Linked DNA regions of Drosophila melanogaster. The protein of the gene in region 1 interacts with the protein of each later gene in a pairwise test. Each region holds a gene or a part of one and is shown on either strand. Other genes may lie near its edges.

Region 1 (5,871 bases):
GTGTGGATTCATATTTTTGAGATACAGCTACAAAACGAAACAAAAGAAAATAAAACAAAACAGAAGAGTAAACGTGAAATTTTTCGATGAAACAATTTTAAATGAGAACTTTTTAATATTGCTATTAAAGGATATACATATACACACTAACATACATATATATTTTACTATGTAACGGATAGAATTAAGCTAGATGCAGCGCATAAAGCTTTATACAACAAATTGAAAAGCAACAGAAGAAATTGGCACAAATTAAATTTATATAGCATAATTAGACGTCCTTCGCAAGATAATGTTATTCGTAATAAGAGCGTCAATCGGTACATCGGGCGCTATTTCCCACTACACCCCCAACCACACAATAGATAACCTAAGCTATGTATGTACATTAGCTATGTATATCCAGCCCACTTATGCGCCTACTACTAGAAATGCAGAAAGCAGAAAGAGAGGTGAAACCTATAGACGCTATCACAAATGTCTATCTGATAGACATCGGTACTACCAATGCTATATTGCCAGTTGTGTAATTTACTCTTATTTGATCGTTTCATTTACCAGTTAAGAACCCAAATCATATAAGTGTTATGATGGAAGAACTATAACTTGCAATTCAATTAACTCTGCAATACGATAACAAGCAAAGCGAATCATTTCATTTCGATTTAATCTTTAATTATATATACTTAAACGATGTAAGCCCAAAACAAACGTTTTTTCTATATCTGTCTTTTGAGCAAATTAGTTATACGCAAAACCAAACCGTATTTACATAAATGTATACAAAACAAATCGTATATTTTCATTGGTTTGAAATAAATACATAAAACAATTTAACTTGTTTTACTTGATATTTTAGGTGTCTGGGAATTGAAAGCTGCATTAAAATGTTTTGTCTGTTCTGCTTTGTAAAGATTATTTGTTTTTTCTATTACAAGTGTCTTAACCAAAGACATTTGGTTAACTTCTGAGAATCATAATTACTTATAAGTTAAATTCCAATTGGCAGTCTTATATATCAAACGTAAACTGACAGGAACGACGTAATGTTGTGCCTGCAGACAGGACAGCGGTCTTCTAAAAGGAGCACGAGCTGCAGGGAGCACTCTTTGCAGAGGCAGAGGTGCCGGCATGGCATGACTACTACGTTCCTGCTTTGAGCCATGCACACGACACAGCGTTCTGGACTCGCGGATCCTGCGTTCTCTGACACATACCAAACATTGTGTATGAAGTGTTGCAATTTATGATGGGTCCATAGGTAAACGCTTTGCGTCTTCGTCGAGATTTCAATGCGTCCACGTTGCAGCAGGTAGATGAGCATCAGGTACACATAGCGGCGGAACATATAGAGAACGAGGAGCAGGGCCAATCCTATCGAGGCCCGGAACGCACTGTTCAGCAAGCTCAAGCCATGGGCCACGATTGAGTGCACCACAAAGTCTAGGAGGCAGTCCCAGAGGAATAGTATGGCCCTCGGCAGCAGCATCAGCAGCCACAAGATGCCATCACCCAGATCGATGAGTAAGTTGCAGATGAATCGGGATATGCAGTGACCAAAATCGAGTACATTCTTGAGCCCGCCTTTGGTGCCGCCGTAGAAGTAGTCCGCCACATCTAGCGTGATGAGGCCCAAGTCGCGGATGCCCTCGTTGATATTCCTGACCGCGCATCTCAACAGATTCCATCCTTTCCTGCTGCCCTCCACCAAACAGAAGCCGACGAGGTAGCTGCCCCACAGGAAGTAGTACACGCCAGTAATCACTGCATCAATCACGCTGGCCAGCGGACGCAGCAGGACCAGATCCACAAGCTCCGCTGCCCGAATTAGAGCGTCCAGCATGGCGGGGGGCTCATACTGTCCTCGAATTAAGAAAAGGAAGAAACACAAAATCAAAACAAGAACGCCGGCCGCTTAGTGTGACCAGGCGGTGGTTGGTAATTAAAGCCAAGCTATCGTTGCGATAAGGTAGCGTCAAATAATTACTTATCTTAAATATTTGTATAATTAATATATATATTTATTTTTAACACCCCACACATTATCGGTTGCACTTCCTAGATATATTTAAACTTAGATGGTATCTGAACTTTAAATACGCCAAATTCTAGGGTAACTTAAATTAATAATGTTCAAACAAATATTTTGCTTCTGTGAGCAAAGGAATTACTAAGGAGACATAACAATTTGGATTTATTAATTTTGACAACTATAAATATGCGTAATAATTAATATGGGTATTCATGTACTGATCTATTATGATATTGCATGCTTCTTTCAAAGACAATGAAAGCTCAAAAATATAATTATACATCCGTGCATTTTGCTGGTATTTCAGAATCCAACAAGGTTTCCCCAAACAACTCGCGAGGGGTTATATAAGAAAGGCGAGCTTAAATCATAGCCCTATCTGAGCAGGAATCCCCCTAATGCGAATAATCCTATTATAAATTTATTTCCGGTTCTGCTAGGAAGTTCATTTCGGTTCTTTGTCTGCAGGTCGATTGTGTATAATAAAAAGCATTAATTAACTATTCGTACATGCAGTTGCGCCCTAGTACGTAGGGCTTTTTCTGCACTCGCTGCAATACCATACTTTTTGTTTTTGGGGATGAAACAGTAAAAAAGTTACTGTTGTAGCAGTTTTCCACCATTGAGAGGACATTTGCCAAGTAATTACTGTTTGAGTTTTGCTTTGCTCACAAAGCTCTGCTGCTAAATGAACTAAAATCGATTAAATCTTTAAATTTTCGCCAGAGTTCGCATCAAGCCCAAGCTTAGAAAGGTCCAAGTCCAAGATGGAGGAATCCAATCACGGTTCGGCTGGCTGTGAAAACGTATCGCAGTTCATGCTCGATGACCTACAATTGGCAGCAGAGCTGGGAAAAACGCTCCTGGAACGCAATAAGGAGCTGGAAACCTTCATCAAGGAGTACAAGATTAAGGGGGATGAGCAGGAACTGGAGATCTTGCATCTGCGCAAGCACATTAATGCGATGACCGAGGTGAATGATTCACGGCTTAAGGTCTACGAGCAGCTGGAAGTGGGCATTCAGGATCTGGAGCGTGCCAATCAGCGGCTAAATCTGGAGAAGAATCGGGACAAGAAGCAGATTAAGACGCTGACCACCAACACGGAAGTCCTGGAAGCCCGCTGCGAGGAACTGAGTCAACTTCTGAGCGATGCTCGGCAATCCCTGAGCACCGAGCGGCGGAAGGTGGATCAGTACCAGCAGGAACGCTATAGGATGCAGCATTCGACCGAGGGTTCTGTGTCCAGTCACAGCATTCAATCGCTGTGCAAGGAGCAGAGTGTTGAGTTCTCCAAACTAGATGTTATGGCCATAGCGAACTCGACAGGATTGGAGGATATCTCCTTCAGTAATGCCACCATGTGCGAGAGGACCGCCGTTAAGGGTGAAGACAACGAGGAATTGGTAAAGCTGCTCAGCGAAATGGAGGTGTTAAAACGTGACTTCTTGGCCGAACAGCAGCGGTGCACCGAGCTGGAGGAGCAGTTGGTGACCATAATCCAAGACAACCAAGGTCTGCAGACACGTCTGCTGGAGAACAGTGCCAATGAGGGAACAATGTCGATGCACGAGGAGTTCAGCCTCCTGGACGACGTGAGACAAGGCCAAATGTGTAGTCGCTGCCTGAGGGATATTAACGAAAGCAACACCAATATGGATGATCAATCCTCCATTGCCCCAACCGAAGAAATCTACGAAGATGACGATCGCAGCATACTAAGCGAAAGCACCTCGAAATGCGATAATAGTGGTGCGGATTATAAGGAACGCTTCCGGATTCCCGAGGACCTCAATCCCAACTCTAGCGACAAACCAAATCCTTATCGGGACCTAGTCGAGAAATATGAAGCTCTGGTGGAGGTGAAGAGAACCTCGAATGCGGTCAAGAGCAACTTCACCAGCAATCCAGATGGGAAGACCATGACCGAGTCCAGTCAAGGCAAAAAATCAGAAACAATTGTTAACAGCTCAAAGGAATCTGACCTTATGTTGGATTCAACACGTAAGCGCACTCCAACCGAGTTTTCGGAATCAGAAACTACATCGTCGGGATTCTCGGATGAAACTAGCAACAAGTCTACGCAAACTGACGAGCGACCGAGTTACTTCCTTTGCTCAATAAGTAATGGAAACGATTGTAAATTCAGTATTTATGACGACGTCAGCCCCATTGAATCTCATTTCCGTAATCGCCCGGAGTACAGGGAACTCTTCAAGGAGATATTTGGAGTGCTCAAGAAGGCAGCTGATAATAACGAAGAAGACAAGCTTCCGTCCCTGCATGACGACGCACAGATTACAGAAAAATTACCCTTGGTGGCGGCCAAAGTACCCCCGGTAACACCCGAGAGGGAGGAATCTCCAGATGACTTCATTGACGACACACAGAGCGTCGTATCCTCAGTTATATCCAACCAGTCCATTGCAATGTCCGAGTGCGTTACCAAACTGGAGCGGAAGACAGCCAAAAAACACATCTTTGATGTCCGAAACCAACAAAACCAATCGTCCCTAACGCAATCCACTTTGTTAAACAGCTCCTCGAAGGAAACAACTGTCGGCGAACCGAATTATAAACCCATAAGGGAGAATGGCCAGATACTTACTCCACTCAAGCGCGAACCACTCGAATATCTAACCGTAGGTGTCGGAATCAAGAAGAAGAACCGACGAAAGCACCGAAACCAAAGCTCATCTGGAGATCGCATCGAATTGTTTAACTCCCGGGAATTTACTCCCAGGAACAGTCCTCTGGCCATGAACAACCGTGGTGGTGGACAAGGGAGCTCAAAGATGTGTACGGATACATTGAATGCTGAATTCGGACGCAGTAACCGCAGACGGACAACTCCATCCTCAAGCAACTGGAATGGCTCTCCCATGGTGATCTATAACAAGAATATGAATACTCCCCAAACTTCTCGGGGCCGAGTAATAGAGCTCAATGGCGTCGAGTTTTATCATAACACGGTATCGCAAGACTTACATAAACTTAAAAAGTTAGACTTATCCTACGCCGAAGTTTTGCGCCGGGCCGATGCCGGCGAACATGGACCCACAAGATCACATTCCCAGCGACAGCAACACAACGGAGCCAACATTCGCAAGAGTCATCATCATCAGTTTCGTCAAAAGTAAACTTGTTTAGAGAATGTAAATAAGCAATTAAACAGTGCATTCTAGCCATAGGGCATTCTACCATTTTTAAATTGTGTGTGCCATGCAGTCTAGTCCGCTTTTTCATGTATAGACAGTTAAATAACAATAACTAAATAACTATAATCGGAAATTTAATTTTATTTCAGCATGATAAAATAAATAATTTAATGACCTACAGAAATCTTACTCTTTCACGATATTCAGCCAAGTTTCAATAGGAATATATGTAGTTGCTTTACAAATTCAGATATAAAAAAGTAAACATTTATTGTTAACTTACAAAGTAAAGGCAAATAAAATATTCTTGCACTTTCATGATATGCCCGTCTAACTACTTTCCAGACTTCCGTTGGTAATGCCCAGTTTGCTAAGCAAACTTATTATATCGCTGTTCGTTCTCATGACAGCCATAACTTCCTGTTGCTGCTGCTGCATGACCCTTAGCCGATTCCGCTCCTCTATCTTGGCCAGCTGATTATTGTTGTTTATGGTCTTTGTGTCCACATCCAGCTTCAGCTCCGACTTAACGTGATACAACTCATCGCGTATTCCGTTCAACTTTCTTTCGCAATCGCGCACGTCCTTCTCCAAAATTTGAGTTTTAAGGTAGACGGTCTGAGCCAACTTATACCAGTCCGCCAGGCACTCTGCGATTTGTGCCACTGTCGGATTTACGTT
Region 2 (5,469 bases), on another chromosome or scaffold:
CACCAAAATCACATAATTCAAACATGTGTATATGTATGATTTAGAGAACACACATGAAAGACAAACAGAAAACATGGAGGAACTAGAGGGTAAGCCCGGCCGACATATTGAAATTCATAACTACATACAAAAACCAATTACAATATCAATTTAAAAGGGATTAAAATGGACCGGCCGGAGGCTTAAGCGGCTCCCAACGCCACTCGCCATCTAAGCTGCCGCTCCTGTTGGTCCTCCATGGTCAGAAGATGGCATATTTTGTGGCGTATTTAAGATTTGTTCCCTTCTAAAATTTGTGAAATTGCAAATTGTATTTGCCTGAGCCGTGACGAAACCCACAAACTTTTAAATTAAATTCTGAGCTAGCAGATTTTCATAATAAATAACGAGTCTTACACGAGTATAATCAGCCGTAATGCCATTGTGTAATGTAGAGATACACTGTATTCAACCAATACCGGGGCGGAACTTTCAACAAGTGGCGAATTCTTTGCGATTCGGTGTGTATTTTTGCATAATTTATTTACCCTGCTTGTTAAATCACAAATGCTGTACACAAAGAACCGCAATTTATGCGAGAGTATTGAAGTCTGTACACTGGACCAGGCCAAGATGCAATTTGGCTAAGTAAAGATGCCGATAAAGTGCAGTCGGATGGTGTGCAAATAGACTAAAAACATAAACTGCAGACGAGGCTAAGCAGCTCAAATGCATTAAATTTAAACGCTCGACTAAGCGGTTTAATTTGGAAAGTAGCAAAAAGCTTCGCCAATCTTTCATCGGACCAAGAATTCACTTCCTGTCCCTCCTCGACCACGTCCATTCATCGATTCGTCCATCCATCATGTCTATCAATGCCCGGGTCTTAGCCATGAGACAGATAAATCAGTTAAGCATCGTCATGTCAAGTTAACAGGCGATTACAAGGGCTTTACCTGACCAGATACGAAGCTTAAGACCATTGCGAGAGGTCAGCGAGGTTTAAGAGCATGTTTCAGTGAACCATTCGCCCTATTATCTATAATATGCAATAGTTCCTTGAACATAATGTTGGCCAATGAAAAAGTAAGCAGAAAAGAAGCAAAAATTTAAAAGTGGTATAGTCTCAATTAACTTAAGCACATATGTATTTGTAATCAAAAGCGAGGGCAATAAATCAAATAAGCTGGCGATTACAAAAGGCCGTCTGCATGCACCGATAGTTGATAAGCAATTGAGTGTGGGCGACGCAACAAGAGGATATCACGAAGGACACGAAGGATGGAAGCCTGCAGACCTCGGCTTGTTGATAAAAGAAATTAAACAGACAGCGCTGAAATAAAAGGGAAAACACAGAGGCAAAGAAGCATTAAGCCCACAAGACAATTGACAATGGGTGGGCCTGAAAATGGTTCAAGGATTCGAAGAGGGGTGTCCTTTTGGCAGGGGATCTGTGGCATTTGTCTCGACTGTCTCGTTGACATGACGTTGCGCGAATTGTGCGCCAGGATTGCTGTTGTGCGTTCTGTTGGCTGTGTTTTCGGTTTGCGAGTCGTCTGCCAACAAAGTGAGCAACACGCGCCGATGATTATGTTGCCGCTGACAACGACAACAACCACAGGAACAGCAGCAACACCTAAAGCAACAGCAATAACAGCAACACCAAAAGCAACATCAGCAACAGACTACTCCGAAAACGAGTGCCATTTTCGGAGTCCTGTTGGCGGCAAATGTCTTGTGGCACGAAGCTTTTCATTGACTAAAAGTGACGCATGCGCAGTTGGTCAGCCAACTTGGACTCCGATTTGAATTCAGTCCTCCGTCCTCAGTTTCAGTTCGTTTTTGTCACTCGTTCGTGCTGCACGGCACACGCGTCGTATGAGCGATATCACCTGGTCTTCTAAGACTGTTTTATTGGATTTTGGCGCAAGAAGGCAAAAAAGCCGGCTAAAGTGTCCCTCGTGGGTGTGTGTACGTGTGTTGCCGGAAATACTTTGAGCAATCGAAACGACAAAAGGCGAATAAAAAAAGATAGAAACCAAAACAAAAGTCTAAGCAAATTAACTTGGCCCATTCGTTGTATTGCGAGTATTGTTCTAGTGGTTATATTATGTTTGGGGTTTTTTGCCCAGCCCTCCTGCCAGCACGAAAGTAGGTTAATTGACGTGTGTTGCGGGCGTATCTACAAGGAAAATAATAAAAAAAAGTACCTAGAAGTAGAAAAACAAATACACGAGCAGCCAGTGAAGTGGTCAATTGCCACTGCCAGGGGTCTCTGAACCCCCTCGATAAATCAAAAGTGTGGGCAGAAAGTCCGGCTAATTTAAGGTATGTCAAATGGTATACTTATTGTTGAATATTTTATTATAATATTGCTAAAAATACAAGTTTAATCAACACTGACCGCAGTGTTAATGCGTTTATTTTGACGTTTGTGCCATTGGCTTCAAATAAATCTACATAATGTGGCAAAAATGGAGGTTCAATGCACTAGCAAATATCTATTGTTTTTAGTTGAACGAATTTTGTGCTGATTATTTGTTTCTACGTTGGACAATTTTAATTAGTTCGTGCATTGAGCAAGCATCGATTAATAGGTAATATATAACCCTAAAAAAATTTGAAGCACAAGTGTGGAAGTAATTTTAAACGAACGTCATTGTTTTATTGTTTTAAAAGCTACCATATTAAAGCGATAAGCTTCCAATTAAAAGTTAATGGGAGTGTTAAGTGTTAAATATTTGCATTAATGTGAGGCATTTAATTTTTTTTTTAGCCAAGTTTGTGGTGGTATGAGTAGAGTATGAGATAAATAGTTTCTTTTGTTATTATATTGCGGTAAATGATGTATTTCTCTTGATAAAAATAAAAATGCGGTATATTTTTTTAAATTACCCATCGAAAAAAAGTTTCGCATGCCAATGCGACAATTGACACTGCAGCAAACAGAAAAAAAGGACATAATACAAAGGGGAATAACATTGCGTAAACAAAAATAAACATATGCAAAATAAACTTCAAACAAATGTTGCCGCACCGAGTTTTGGGCCATCAAAACAAACAGAGAACACAAAAAAGGATAAAAACAGAACAAAAAAATTGAAACCGAAGTGAGCAACGCGGGGAAGTGGGTTCATGGTCGGTTGCGAATCGGTGCCTTAGAGGCAACTTTGTTGCACAAAATTTATTAATTTTTTTTTTCGCCAAGTGCGTGCTTGTGTGTGTGTGTGTGCGGTGTGTGTGTCAAATTTAAAAGCATTCTTTCCAGTTGCCTTTGGACGGGGGATGTCCTGGCAGCTGCCTTTTTGTTTTATTATTTTGCGGAAGCTGCGAACCAACATTTATAAAAAGGTTTTTCTTGCTCGTCCTGCTACGTGAGCCATGCACACACAAACACACCAACACACACACACACACAACATACATGCCCACACCCACAGACGCACATTGCTGTGCATTACCGTTATTTTATGACGGAAGTACATTTAAGCAGATTTTTTCTCACAGAACTCCCGCTCCCTTCAACCGAACTGGAAAAAAGGGCTGCCAAAAATGTACAAAAAAAAAAATTGGGAAACCGAGGAAATTTAAATATTTTCTTTTACGCTGTGCTTTTCATTTGCCAGTCTCGCTAAAATTTATGACCAACAAAATTGGAATATTCCCCAAAACAACAGTAGCAACAATAAAGCCAAGACAAAGTTCGCTTCGATGGCCGTAAAAAATAAGAAACCTTTACGAAGCGTTTCGATGAAAAATAACCATCCAGAATTTGAATCAAGTAAGAAAACATTGAAATACTCGATTAAATAAGCAACTTAATACTCAAAATATAGAAACAGATGACTAGATTAATTTTGTATGGTAGTGATTTGTTGTATTATTTGTATTTGTTGTATTTGTTGTGAAATGATGTATTATGCTTTTGATTTGAAAACAGAATGTTTGATAGCATATCATAAAATTTATATTAAGCCATTCCGCAAATTGAACTCGAGAAGTTATGAAAATGATAAGCTTCATAAACCAAATACTTTTCAAATGAACTCCTCCGCACCCTAGGCACATATTATATTAATTGAAATTTAATACAATTACCAGGCGAATGTGTGGAAAGCCAAGTGAAAGTCGGCAGCCAAAACACACATAAATTCAAGCCAAACACACACGCATTCCATGTTGGGAAGGCAAGGAGATTTCTTGCCAAGTAAGTGACTCAATAAATAAATTTACTTGCCAACTTTTTGCCTTGTTGTTGCGGCCTTGGGGGACTGATTGTTGCTTTCTCAAGGTAGATTTGCGTTGGCATGCTCTCCCCGTCGAAGGATCTGAAAAATACTGTAGCCGTAATAAACAACACTTGATCGAGGACGGGGGCACAAAGTTAAGTGTGCTTTACTGGGGCACGCGAAATAAATTTCTGGAATTTAACAAGATGAACGAGAATAGCAGGAGACAATTCTTTTTCAAAACGAGACCTCCTAATAAGATGTTGTTGAAATAGAAATTTGAGTAACATGCTGATTGTATTTATCGGAATAAATTGGTAGAGTATTCTACAACAACTGCCAATTTAAATCCCCGACTTTTCACTTATTTTTCATGAGCCACTTTAAGCTGTGAATTATACCACGCCAAGTATTATGATCTGATCTGAGCGAGGGTCGTAAAGCGGAATCCTCAAGAATACGAACTTGAATTTGCACAGCATTAGCACAGACTGTGGGGGTATCTAGAAAACAAAGACTGGGGTGGGAGGGCGTTTTTTACTCGCGCTTTTATTAAGTAAGTGAGCTATTCAAAATCAAAGCAGCGGAAAAATCCGCATCGCCCAGGGGCGAACGGTGTGGCAAAATGTGTCCGCCGATTGTCAGGCAAATGTCAAGCACAAGCTGCAGGCGGCTTTCAGCTTGTCTCACGTCTCGTTTCGGGCCCCTTTTCCGCATTTCCCGCAGATTTTCCCAGTACCAACACCAACACCAGCAGCAGAAGCAAGCACTTGCACCACCTGCAACAATGTGCAGACATTTATGGCACCAGATGCCGCCGGCAGCAGGCAAATGCCTTGCCATCCTTGAGTGGCATTGCGATGGCATTTCCATGGCATTTCCGTGGTGCGTTTGCCGGAGCGATGAAAGCGCATTAGCTTTGTCATTTATCGTTGCATACAATGCGCCATCTTTGTTGCCAATCCGAAAGGGCAGGACGAATGAAAGCGCTTTAAAGTGCATACAATCAGAGTTAAAGCCTGCATTTTTAAGTTAAGACTAACTTTGACCTTACCCCTTTGTCTCTGGGGCAATTTACATTTGAATAGAGTAAATTATGCAGTGGGGTATTTCATGATTTTTATGAAAGGATTTACAGAGCTTTAGCTTATTCATATGGTTTGCCTTTCCATAATATCATTTTAAAAATATTTAAATAACATTTATTTGCAATATTAAAAGTCTATAAGATCTGTAGAGGCTATTATCGGCTTATTGCTAT

The links. Proteins that work in one complex are often made in the same cells at the same time.
Region 2: the proteins of Cen (region 1) and Ccn interact in a two-hybrid assay, tested with the Drosophila melanogaster proteins (one large-scale study listed by BioGRID).

The regions. Positions count from the first base shown.
Region 1 is NT_033779.5:20,678,421-20,684,291, reverse strand, and holds Cen (centrocortin), read left to right. Parts: upstream 1-2,445; 5' UTR 2,446-2,673; exon of another isoform or gene 2,674-2,758; 5' UTR 2,759-2,799; coding exon 2,800-5,172; 3' UTR 5,173-5,371; downstream 5,372-5,871. Other genes in the region: CG2617 (uncharacterized protein), read right to left, coding at 1,019-1,843; IKKepsilon (I-kappaB kinase epsilon), read right to left, coding at 5,521-5,871.
Region 2 is NT_037436.4:17,688,169-17,693,637, forward strand, and holds the start of Ccn (Ccn), read left to right. Parts: upstream 1-1,846; 5' UTR 1,847-2,307; intron 2,308-5,469.